3 linked regions of the Elephas maximus indicus genome follow. The protein of the gene in region 2 interacts with the protein of the main gene of each other region in a biochemical or structural test. Links are inferred from orthologs where the notes say so. Each region holds a gene or a part of one and is shown on either strand. Other genes may lie near its edges.

Evidence for each region.
Region 1: the proteins of PRKCB (region 2) and RACK1 form a complex in vitro, tested with the Homo sapiens proteins (2 studies listed by BioGRID). The link is inferred for Elephas maximus indicus from reciprocal best matches to the Homo sapiens genes PRKCB and RACK1.
Region 3: of the proteins of PRKCB (region 2) and RASGRP3, one has a biochemical effect on the other in vitro, tested with the Homo sapiens proteins (2 studies listed by BioGRID). The link is inferred for Elephas maximus indicus from reciprocal best matches to the Homo sapiens genes PRKCB and RASGRP3.

Annotation. Positions count from the first base shown.
Region 1 is NC_064820.1:199,939,193-199,942,941, forward strand, and holds the start of RACK1 (receptor of activated protein C kinase 1), read left to right. Parts: upstream 1-1,102; 5' UTR 1,103-1,154; coding exon 1,155-1,263; intron 1,264-1,519; exon of another isoform or gene 1,520-1,587; intron 1,588-2,274; coding exon 2,275-2,446; intron 2,447-2,814; exon of another isoform or gene 2,815-2,890; intron 2,891-3,059; coding exon 3,060-3,207; intron 3,208-3,431; coding exon 3,432-3,527; intron 3,528-3,749. Other genes in the region: uncharacterized protein LOC126067361, read left to right, coding at 654-1,102. UniProt on the Homo sapiens protein: Scaffolding protein involved in the recruitment, assembly and/or regulation of a variety of signaling molecules. Interacts with a wide variety of proteins and plays a role in many cellular processes.
Region 2 is NC_064830.1:84,018,910-84,022,658, forward strand, and holds the start of PRKCB (protein kinase C beta type), read left to right. Parts: upstream 1-718; 5' UTR 719-925; coding exon 926-1,098; intron 1,099-2,083; coding exon 2,084-2,115; intron 2,116-3,749. UniProt on the Homo sapiens protein: Calcium-activated, phospholipid- and diacylglycerol (DAG)-dependent serine/threonine-protein kinase involved in various cellular processes such as regulation of the B-cell receptor (BCR) signalosome, oxidative stress-induced apoptosis, androgen receptor-dependent transcription regulation, insulin signaling and endothelial cells proliferation.
Region 3 is NC_064844.1:33,288,414-33,292,162, reverse strand, and holds the start of RASGRP3 (ras guanyl-releasing protein 3), read left to right. Parts: upstream 1-1,013; 5' UTR 1,014-3,749. UniProt on the Homo sapiens protein: Guanine nucleotide exchange factor (GEF) for Ras and Rap1.

The sequences.
Region 1 (3,749 bases), on a different chromosome or scaffold from region 2:
CCCTCTCCCAGATCTAATTTCCTGTCTCCAATGTCCCACTCAACCACCCATCACCACCAAAGAATGTAAGCGCCAAGAAGGGGGTCCTCGTTTCTTTGCAGCTGTATCACCAAGACCTAAAACACGACGTGGTGCCCAAGGGATGTGAACTAAATAAGTTACACAGATTAATTCTATCAGGCATTGTTCTGGGCGCTTTACCTTTCTTGACTCGATTACTCTCCATAACACCAGGTGAGGTAGGCACTATCATTTCCAATCGTATTTCAGAGAAGAGACTAACGTTAAAGCATATTACAAATAGAAAGTAAATATGTATGTTGTTGGGTGCCATCCAGTCCGTTCCGACTCAGCGACCCTATATGACAGAGTAGAACTGCCCCCATAGGACTTCCAAGGAGCAGCTGGTGGATTTGAACTGCTGACCCTTTGGTTAGCAACCGAGCTCTTAACCACTATGTCACCAGGGCTCCAAATACTATATACAATCCCCCCTTTATTTTGTACAGGTGATAACGGCTGCGGTCCTCCCGATCTACTTCCCTGAGCGGCGTTCTGGCATGAAAATATGTTAGGGTTTGAGAGTTCACCTGAGCATGGTTCGAAAGTTTATGTTTCTTTAATACGGCTTTTTTCCCCCAAATTGCCCACAGGTACTCACAGTTGGGATCTCGAAATTAAGTACCCGCTTCATTGTCCTCTGAACTACCAAGCGGAAAGGGCGGGGCTCGCGTTGTGCCACCTAGCGGACGGTGAAGCCGTAAGGCGATCCTCATGGGAATGTGCCGTACATTTCAACTCTTTCACGTCTAAGAAATCACACCCCAGCAAAGGTTTAAGGAACCTCTTTAAATATTCGGTCGTGATAGTTTCAGAGTGTATTCGTGCGGAGCTGTCAAATTATGTTGCGTGGCGGAGGGGACGTGTCGTGCGATTTCAACAGCTGTTTCGGCTACATGGCGCTGCCATCTTAAGCAGAAGTGAATCATGGGAGCCACCATTTTGGTCGGGCGGGCGGGTATTTCCGGTTCCGGCAGTGGGTTCCTCGATCTTTTTCTACGCAGGGCCGCGGCGAGAGCGCCGGTGCTGCTGGTCTCTCTGAGCTATCTGGTGCCATCCTCGTCGCTGCGGCGACCCTCGCACCCGCCGCCGTCATGACTGAGCAAATGACCCTTCGTGGCACCCTCAAGGGCCACAACGGATGGGTTACCCAGATCGCTACCACTCCACAGTTCCCGGACATGATACTGTCTGCCTCGCGAGGTACGTACTGAGGTGCAGGAGGAGGGTTGCGCGCCTTACGAGGCTGGGCTGTGGTGCGCGAGTCGCGGGTCCGAAAGACTCCGCCGGGGTTTGAGGGGGGACATGTGACCCGGCTGAGCCCGGTAAGGCATTCCCATCATTGCTAATGAAGTACCGAGGAACAGCCTGTGGCCGCCAGGAGGGTGGGAGGTTTCTTTATAGCCTTCACGCTTCTGCACGGTGTAGCTAGTTGTGCCCACGAGCCTACAGGCCTGGCGGAGCGGTGATGATTACAACATGCCATCTGAGCATAGGTGCTGAGACCCAGAGGCTGTTTCTGAGCTGTCGCCCGGCCCTCGGCTCTTTTGGGAATTGGTGGTCTCCAGGGGAGCTCCATGGCACAAACCTGGATTTGACCGGCACCTACTCTATGCCCTGGCTTCTCTTCCTCTCATTCTCGGTCGGCCTGAGTGCGTTTGGAGGCTTCCTGTGCTTTCCAAATGCTCCCACACTGGGAGTTTTTTGAAGCTAGGATTAGGGCTGGCCCTTAATTGTAAAGTTTATAGTGTAGGACACGTTTTAGTGAAATCATCCAACCCTGTAGCGTGCAGAACAACTTTCCAACACTGATTCACTTCTGGCAATCCTCAAAAATAGTCCCGGTGCCCACGACGAGTCCTCTACACCCAGGCTGCTCTGTTTCTGCATTAGACCTCAGATAGGACACGAAAGGGTTATTGAATTGATCTCAGTCTCAGCCCCTAGCAAAATTCTGAACCCCTGATTTACATTTGTATGAAAGACTTTTTAGTTTTATCTCTCTATTCCAGCAAGTAACTTCTTACTAGCGTATAGTTTACCTCCTTGTCAAGCTTCTCTGTAATTTGTCATCTTGTAAACCCATGACCTCGAGACATTTTGGATTATCCAGTAATCAGCAAGGTAGCTGCAGAGTTCAGACTGGCAGGATGGCTAGTATAGAGGAGGGCAGAGTTTCTCAATGGGTTTACTTTTTGTTTTATCTCTCCTTAGATAAGACTATCATCATGTGGAAGCTGACTAGGGATGAGACCAACTATGGCATCCCCCAGCGTGCTCTGCGTGGCCACTCTCACTTTGTTAGTGACGTGGTTATCTCCTCTGATGGCCAGTTTGCCCTCTCTGGCTCCTGGGATGGGACACTGCGCCTCTGGGATCTCACAACGCAAGTACCTGCTCGCTTAGCTTTGGGGCCTTGGGGGGAAAGCTGGGCAGAAATGAGGAAAATGGCTGAGTCCTCCCTCCTTGGTTGATTCAGACTCAGAGAGACCCTAGAAGACAGTAGAACTGCCCCATAGGGTTTCCAAGGCTATAAATCTTTACAGAAGCAGACAGCCACATCTTTCTCCTGTGGAGTGGCTGGTGGGTTCAAACCACCAACCTTTGGTTAGCAGCCAAGCGTTATAACAACAGTGCCATGTGGGCAATTTGAATTGAGTGAAGCAGTTAGGAGTACACACAGTGGTTTGAAAATGTTTGGCCTTGGTAGCTCTGTCCTGGGTGTTGGTCAGCTGGTGACAATTATAATGGAGCATCCTGGTGATGACAGATGACATTGTCAGCTGATCCCCATGTGGGAGTGAGGACATGTCCTGCAATTCTGAGGGATTCTCTGGCATATACTCAGACAAAAGCTTGCTGTGGTCAGAGCCATAGCTTGGGTTATCTGAGTAAAGAAAATCCCCTGGGGACAGGGACAAGGCCCGGAAAATGATGTGACTGTGGTAGGAGAAAGTTTGCAAGGTGTCTGTAGAGAGTGACCAGGTCCTCCTTCTCAGGGGCACCACCACACGACGATTTGTGGGCCATACTAAGGATGTGCTGAGTGTGGCCTTCTCTTCTGACAACCGGCAAATTGTCTCTGGCTCCCGAGATAAAACCATCAAGCTGTGGAATACTCTGGGTGTCTGCAAGTACACTGTACAGGTAAAGTGAAGGCATGGGGGAAAGAGTGCATCTTTGAGGTTCATTCCCGCTCTTCCTCTTAAACGTTAATCACGTGTGGTGGTTTCAAGTATTGTCTGGCATCTAAAAGTTTCGGGACGAGAATATAAGACTGCTAGCATCCATCTCACATAGCTGAGAGGAGGAATAGTGGTCTAGAGTTTCATGGGCCAGAATGTTTCCCCTTATTTCTCTGTCTCCTGTAGGATGAGAGCCACTCGGAGTGGGTGTCTTGCGTCCGCTTCTCCCCCAACAGCAGCAACCCCATCATCGTTTCCTGTGGCTGGGATAAGTTGGTCAAGGTGAGCTTGGAACCAGGGCCACAAGGCCTTTACCAGCCAGAAACTGCTCCCATTGCATCTAGATGGTCATAGGCTCCAACTCGGAAACCTTTGCAGATTCTCTCCTGAGACATTTCTGTCCAGCATGCCTTTCATCCTAACCAACCACCTGGAGTTAGGTCAGATCTCACAAGCTAAATGTTAGTGTTCTCTAGATGCCAGGTCTTCCCGAGACTTCGTGCT
Region 2 (3,749 bases):
TATATACATATACATATACATATACATATACATATACATATACATATACATATACATATACATATACATATACATATACATATACATATACATATACATATACATATACATATACATATACATATACATATACATATACATATACATATACATATACATATACATATACATATACATATACATAACATGCATACATATACATATATACATATACGTACAATGTCGCTCCTCCTACTTCTGCAGAACGTGTGTGTGTATGTGTGTAGGTGTGTTCAAGTGTGGGGAGCCAGCCACAGGCCTTTCCGAATGAGTGACAGGAGAGGCGTGCAGAATGACCAATGATATGAATGGGGGTGGATGGGTACCAGTCTCTGCAGAGGCCAGTGTGGAACCCGCGGTGTCCACCCTTTCCACCCACCGGTCCCCCAGCCCCCGTCGGGTGCTTCCGCTCTCGGTACCGCCTGGGTGCCCTCTAGGTGCTCATCTCCTCAACGCAGCCGCGGGCCGAGGCCGGGGTGAGGGGTCGGGGCTCAGGGCTGACGAGGGCGGGCTGCAGTAACCGCGCCGCAGAGCTGCGGCTGAGGACACTTCGCTCGGAGGTCGGCCGCTGCCGGGGTGCCAATATGTAAAGCAGCTGGCGGCGCGGGGCGGGGCCTGGGCCCGATGCAAATGAGGGAGGCGGGGTCAGCCCCGGCTCCGCCTCCCTCCTCCGCAGCTGGGGCCAGCGGTGCCAAGCGCAGCTGGACGAGCGGCGGCAGCTGGGCGAGTGACAGCCCCAGCTCCGCGCGCCGCGGCCGCCAGAGCCGGCGCAGGGGAAGAGCCCGCGGCCCCGGCAGCAGCAGCGGCCGCCTCCTCCGGCCTCGCGGGCCCGCAGCCCGCCGCCCCGGGGCTGGCCCCTCTCGGGCTCCCGCTCCCCGCGCGCAAGATGGCTGACCCGGCTGCGGGGCCATCGCCAAGCGAGGGCGAGGAGGGCACGGTGCGCTTCGCCCGCAAAGGCGCCCTCCGGCAGAAGAACGTGCACGAGGTGAAGAACCACAAATTCACCGCCCGCTTCTTCAAGCAACCCACCTTCTGCAGCCACTGCACCGACTTCATCTGGTGAGAGCGCGCCCGGCGCAGGGTGCCTGCCCGGCCCCCGAGGGCAGCGCCGCGCGCGGGGATCCTCTCGCGCCCCCAGGGGCCCCGTGTCCCCAAGCTCCCCGCGCCGGACGCTTCTGCTCCGGACTCCCGGCGGACTGTTCTGTGGCGTCCCTCTCCCCGGCCCCAGACGGCTGGCCGCGCGGAGCCTCCTGCCCTCGCTTCTTCCCCGGTCCCTCCCGAGAGCAGCCGGCCAGCGCCGCGGGCGCCTTCCCCTCCACCTGGCTCCGAGCGCGGGGCGCCTGTCCGTCCGGGGGAGAGCAGCGCTTCGGGTGCCCTCTTGCCCTGGGTTACCCCTCTCTCTGTCTCCTTCCAGGCGGGAGGCGCCCTTACCCCCACCCCGTTTCCGGGGGCAGTGCTCCGGGTGTCTTCTCTCCAGCGCCTTGTGGGCATGGGGCATCCTTTTCTGCTCTCAGTGTCTCGGGGGGCAGCATGCCGCGCTCCATGTTCTCTTTTATCGCGCCTCCCTAGGGGCCTGGAGTGGCCCTTTCCACTCCCCAGTCCTCCCCTGTCATCGCGAACCCTCTTCGCTCCCGTCCATCCAGGCATGGGGCTCCTTTCTCCCTTCCCAGTCCCCCCAGGTCTCCTTCCCCTCTCATCCTTCTCTGGGTGCGTCTTTACAGCTTCTCTTTCCCCGAGGGTACTCGGGGCATCTGTGGGTAGATCTCCCTTTTGCTCTCCACTCCCACCGGATGGAAATGCAATCCTCCCCCACAACACACACACACACACCCGGTGGTCGCTGTCACCTCCCCTCTGCCAGGGTGAGGGGAGGTTGAGGTTACCGCCGAGTTCCCACCTACCCCCCAAAGGCGGAAGCCTCTCGGGCACTCGCCTGCGGCTAGGAGGTTGCACCTGGGGTAAAGGGGTAGGGTGGAGGGGGGACTGTGGGGGAACTAGCAGGCGGCTGTGGGCTCCCTGACGTTATCTCTTTCTGCCTTTGCAGGGGCTTCGGAAAGCAAGGGTTCCAGTGCCAAGGTAGGCACCAGGGTCCTGGGGCTATGGGGTTCTGGGGATGCCCTTTGTGGGAAGAAATGGTGAAAGGGTCTGTAGAAGTGAGCGAGTTAGATCTAAGGAACCACTTCCGTCAGAGTGACCTCCAGGCTAGGAATTCATCGCGAAAAAGGGTCCTTTTAAGGTGTGTGTGTGTGTGTGTGTGTGTGTGAGGGGCAGTGATGCTCTGTCCCAGAAAGGCTGATGGAACTGGGAGGCCCTAAATGGCAAGGAAGTGCTATCCACTCTTTCTCCCTTTCAAGCATCTGAAGAGTCAGAATGGGTCTCCTGAATCTTCCATGGTGTTGCCAGTCCTGCCTCTGCAGGAAGTGTCTCCAGGGGCCATTTCTGGGAGGATTCCTCCTCTCTAACTCATGCCCCCTCAGGTACTCACTTGCCCTTCCTTGTCTCCTAGAGTGAGGTTCTGCCTCTTCCCCCACCTCCCAGAGAGCTCTGCATGTGGCTGCCTTCTCTGCAGATGGTGCCTCCCCTAGAAAGGCAACTGTGGTTGTCCCCTGGGCCTCCTCCCTCTGAAAGAGGTGGCTCCAGATGGGTACCTCTCAGATCCTCGTTCAAATCATCCTTTCTGTCTTCTGGGTAGATACAGCTAGGACTTCAAGTTACTGGTTTCCTCCATCCTTGCATCTGGGTTGGGATCCTTGACTCTAACCTGAGATGTTCCACTCCATGGTGGTGACTTTTAATCATGTGTGAGGGGACCTTGGCTGTGTCGGGTTACTGTCATAAAACATAGGTTGCAAATTGGCTGCCCAGGGTCAAATCACCTGTAGGCTTGTTCAGCCCTTGTTGTTGTTGGTAGGTGCCATTCAGAAGACTCAGACTCACGGTGACCCCATTTGTGCAGAGTTGAACTGCTCCCTATGGTTTTCAGGGCTGTGGCCTTTTGAAAGCAGATTATCAGACTTATCTTCCAAGGTGCCTCTGGTTTTGAACTGCCACCCTTTGGGCTAGAAGTCCATCCTTAACTGTTTGTACAACCCAGGTTCAGCCCTTAGGGAGTTCTTAGACATTTTTTTATTTTGGCCAACATTTTAGAACTGGGAGATTTCACCTACAAATCAGAATTTCCAGTTTTGCTGAGAAATGGTCCCACTTTTTCTTGTTACAGCAATCCTTTTTGGAGCTGGAGAGCAAATTATTTTCAAAGACAGGGCACACACATTCAGTATTTTGTCACAATCAATCCTGAGCAGACTTGCTTCACTCATTTCTGGCCCCTGTAGGTATTTAGTTTGCAACCTCTCCTCTGGAAAGTTTTTTCTCCCCTAATCTTTTTTTTTTTTTTTTTAATCTTAGGCCAGTTTGGTGAGAAATGTCTTATTTCTGGGGTGTGCCTTAGGGTTAAACTGACCATTATGGTGAGCTGGGTGAAAGCCAGAAGAAGAAAGCCTTTGAACATAAAGAGTCTAAGATGTGAGTTATCACTGAATGACAGCCTTGTGGTTGCACTTCCACCCTTCGGGAAAAGTAAAGTGTTCCCCGGTGAGTGTAGGCACCAATGTCAGTTGTGCAGAATGCTTGGTGGCATGGTACTGCCATCCTCTGAGACTCACAAGTTCTTTCACCTGAGATCTAGGCTCAGCAAGGAGCTGGATAGA
Region 3 (3,749 bases), on a different chromosome or scaffold from region 2:
CTTTCCTCAGGAATTCCTGGGTGGTGCAAATGGCTAATGCACTTAAATGCTTACTGAGAGGCTGGATGTTGAAGTCCACCCAGAAGCTCCTCAGAAGAAAAGCCTGACAACCTACTTCTGAAAAATCAGCCATTGAAAACCCTATGGAGCACAGTTCTACTCTGACACACATGGGGTCACCATGAGTCAGAACTGACTCAATGGCAACTGATTTTGTTTCGTTTTGTTTTTGGTCTTTCTTTAACTATGTGATATGCACTGGGTCATCAGAAAAATTAACAGTTAATTGCAAATAGAGTGGTAGATGCCATAAGGTCACAGAAGTTTTTTACTGTAAATATGAAGTAAAATATGCCAAAATAGTATTTAAAATCTTCGATTGACCCCCTTTTCTGTTTCGGATTGGAGACTGTCACATCAACACACGAACAAAATGCCTACCAAGATGACATGTGTCTCTCACTCCAACAAAGCTGGCATTAATCCAAAAATAATGAATGTTAGAGAGGTTGTGGAGAGACTGGAACACTTATACACTGCTGGTGGAAATGTAAAATGGTACAACCACTTTGGAAATCAATTTGGTGCTTCCTTAAAAAGCTAGAAATAGAACTACTATACGATCCAGTAATCCCACTCCTTGGAATATATCCTGGAGAAATAAGAGCCTCTACAAGAACAGATATATGCACACCCATGTTCATTGCAGCATTGTTTACGATAGCAAAAAGATGGAAGTAACCAAGGTGCCCATCAACAAATGAATGGATAAATTATGGTATAGTCACACAATGGAATACCACACATCGATAAAGAACAATGATGAATCCATGAAATATTTCATAACATGGAGGAATCTTGAAGGGATTATGCTGAAATTAGTCAGTTGCAAAAGGACAAATATTGTATGAGACCACTATTTTAAGAAGTCAAGAAATAGTTTAAACAGAGAAGAAAATAATCTTTGATGGTTACGAGAGGAGGGAGGGTGGGAGGGGTATTCACTAATTAAATAGTAGATAGGAACTACTTTAGGTAAAGGGAAAGACAACATACAATTCAGACGAGGTCAGCACAACTGGACTAAATCAAAAGCAAAGAAATTTCCTGAATAAACTGAATGTTTCGAGGGCTCGTGTAGCAGGGGTAGGCGTTTGGGGACCATGGTTTCAGGTAACATCGAAGTCAATTGGCATAATAAAATCTATTAAGAAAACAGTCTGCATCCCACTTTGGAGAGAGGCGTCTGGGGTCTTAAACGCTAGCAAGCGGCCATCTAAGATGCATCAATTGGTCTCAAGCCATCTGGATCAAAGTAGAATGAAGAACACCAAAGGCACAAGGTAATTATGAGCCCAAGAGACAGAAAGGGCCACATAAATGAGAGACTACAACAGCCTGAGACCAGAAGAACTAGATGGTGCCTGGCTACAACCGATGACTGCCCCGACAGGGAACACAGCAGAGAACCTCTGAGGGAGCAGAGCAGTGGGATGCAGGCCTCAAATTCTCGTAAAAAGACCAGACTTAATGGTCTGACCGAGACTAGAAGGACTCCAGAGGTCAGGGTCCTCCGACCTTCTGTTAGCCCTAGACGGAAACCATTCCCAAAGCCAACTCTTCAGATAGGGATTGGACTGGACTGTGGGATAGAAAATGGTACTGGTGAAGAGTGAGCTCCTTGGATAAAGTAGACACATGAGACTATGTGGGCACCTCCTGTCTGGAGAGGAGACGAGAGGGTCAGAAGTGGGCTGAATGGACACGAAAAAAGAGAGTGGAGGGAAGGAATGTGCTGTCTGGTTAAAGGGAGAGCAACTAGGAGTATATAGCAAGGTGCATATAAGTTTTTGTATGAGATACTGACTTGGTTTGTAAACTTTCACTTAAAACACAATAAAAATTAAAAAAGTACAGACAACTCCCTCTATTAAAAAAAAAGGCTTGTCTTAGCACATGATATTTGTAGTTTATTTCTATTACAAACACTGAACCATCTTCATGGATACATCTTGATGCTTGCAAAATTTTTCTCTTTGGATGTTGGGGTTTCACCCCTGACAGTATGGCAAGCCTGAGATTATCACTTTTTTCTTCTTTTTCTGTTATTTTGGAAAAACACTGTAGTCTCTTTATGGAGTAAAACTCCTGGTTTGGTTATCATTGGAAATAATTATGAAACAAAGCCCAGGTATGAAAAATTGTCCATACAGGCTCCTCTGTTGAGTAAGATCTCACTCATTAAAAACCAAAGTTGACAGTTTAACAGGCTCATCATTGTTCCAATGGGTTTCACCACATCAAAGATGTAGAAATTGTTCACTACAGATTTGTAAGTAAGCTCAATTAAACCCATGCTAACCTTGCTGACTTGATAATCTACCCCTGTCAGAGATTGTAAATTTGAAAAAAGGCTTTGATTCCATAGGAGGGTGCTGTGGGGTTGGGACAGAGACAGATGCTAGCCATACCTAGAAGCAGAATCTTCGATGTGGTGAAAAAATGTGAAAGTATTCACTAAAGATGATCTGTTGAGCAAGGTAAGCACTGTGCTTACCTTGCCTATTGGATAATCTGCCCCTGCCTGGGGGACCATAACTGTTTTGTTTGGATGTTCATTTTGCCAAATGAGCTGACTCCCTGCCGTATCTACATTGTATCCAAAGGGGTGAGCTCAGGCACTGATTTTGAGAAGTGTGACCCTTAATATACCAAAAAATCAGATACCCAAGAGGCTTTCCCTAGTGAGGGGGAGAGGGAGGGAGGGACAATCACTTCAGGTGAGAAGGGCAAAGTCAACAAAGTCCCAGGATGATTGCAGTGAGCACAGAAAACAGACAGTTGGCCCAATTTCTTAGCAGACCAAAGGGGGCAGCAGAGCTCCCATAAAGTGCTCTGAAAGTTCAGTGATTATTTCTGTTTTTGCTCACAGCGGCCGATCACTGCTCTGCTCTCCCTTAACATGTTGACATAATCCAGCAGGCGATTATGTGGAAATCTGGTCTTAAGCTACCTAAAATGATTTCCATTAACTCATTAAAAAAATTATTTTGTTGTAAAAATACATATAACAAAACATTTGCCAATTCAGCATATTTTACAGGTACAATTCAGTGACATCATGTTGTGCAACCATCTCTACTATCCATTTCAAAATTATTCTACCACCATAAACAGATACTCATAGCCCCCTAAGCTAAGATTCCTCATTCTACCTCCCTCCCATCCCTGGTAACCACTAATAGACCTTGGTCTCTATATTAATTTGCCTACTATTTGCACATAAGTGGGATCATACAGTGTTTATCCTTTCATGACTGCCTTACTTCACTCAGCATAATGTTTTCAAGGTTCCTCCATGTTGTAGCACGTATCAGGACTAATTTCCTCTTTATGGCAGAGTCCATTAGCTCTTTAGACAAAGCTGTATCTGGCATTCTTCATCAAACCCGTCATATATATGCCCCCTCAGCATCATTTGTCACAGCAGCCCTGGCCTTTTCATACTATCCATACCAGTCTGTGAAATGAAACCTGAGCATTCTTAGACCGTTAGTCGGGGCCTGCCTTCCTTGGGGCAGTCCACCCCATCTTGTGGCTGTGCCAACAAACTGGAGCTTTGGGTGCTGAAAAAATGAAACCAAGATGGAGAGGTAGATTGACGTGTTTCAGGTGTACCTGGACTATAGAGTAGCTTCTACCTGCTGTATGAGTCTGTGGTTCCTTTCTCTTGCTGTTCGGGGGCCCCA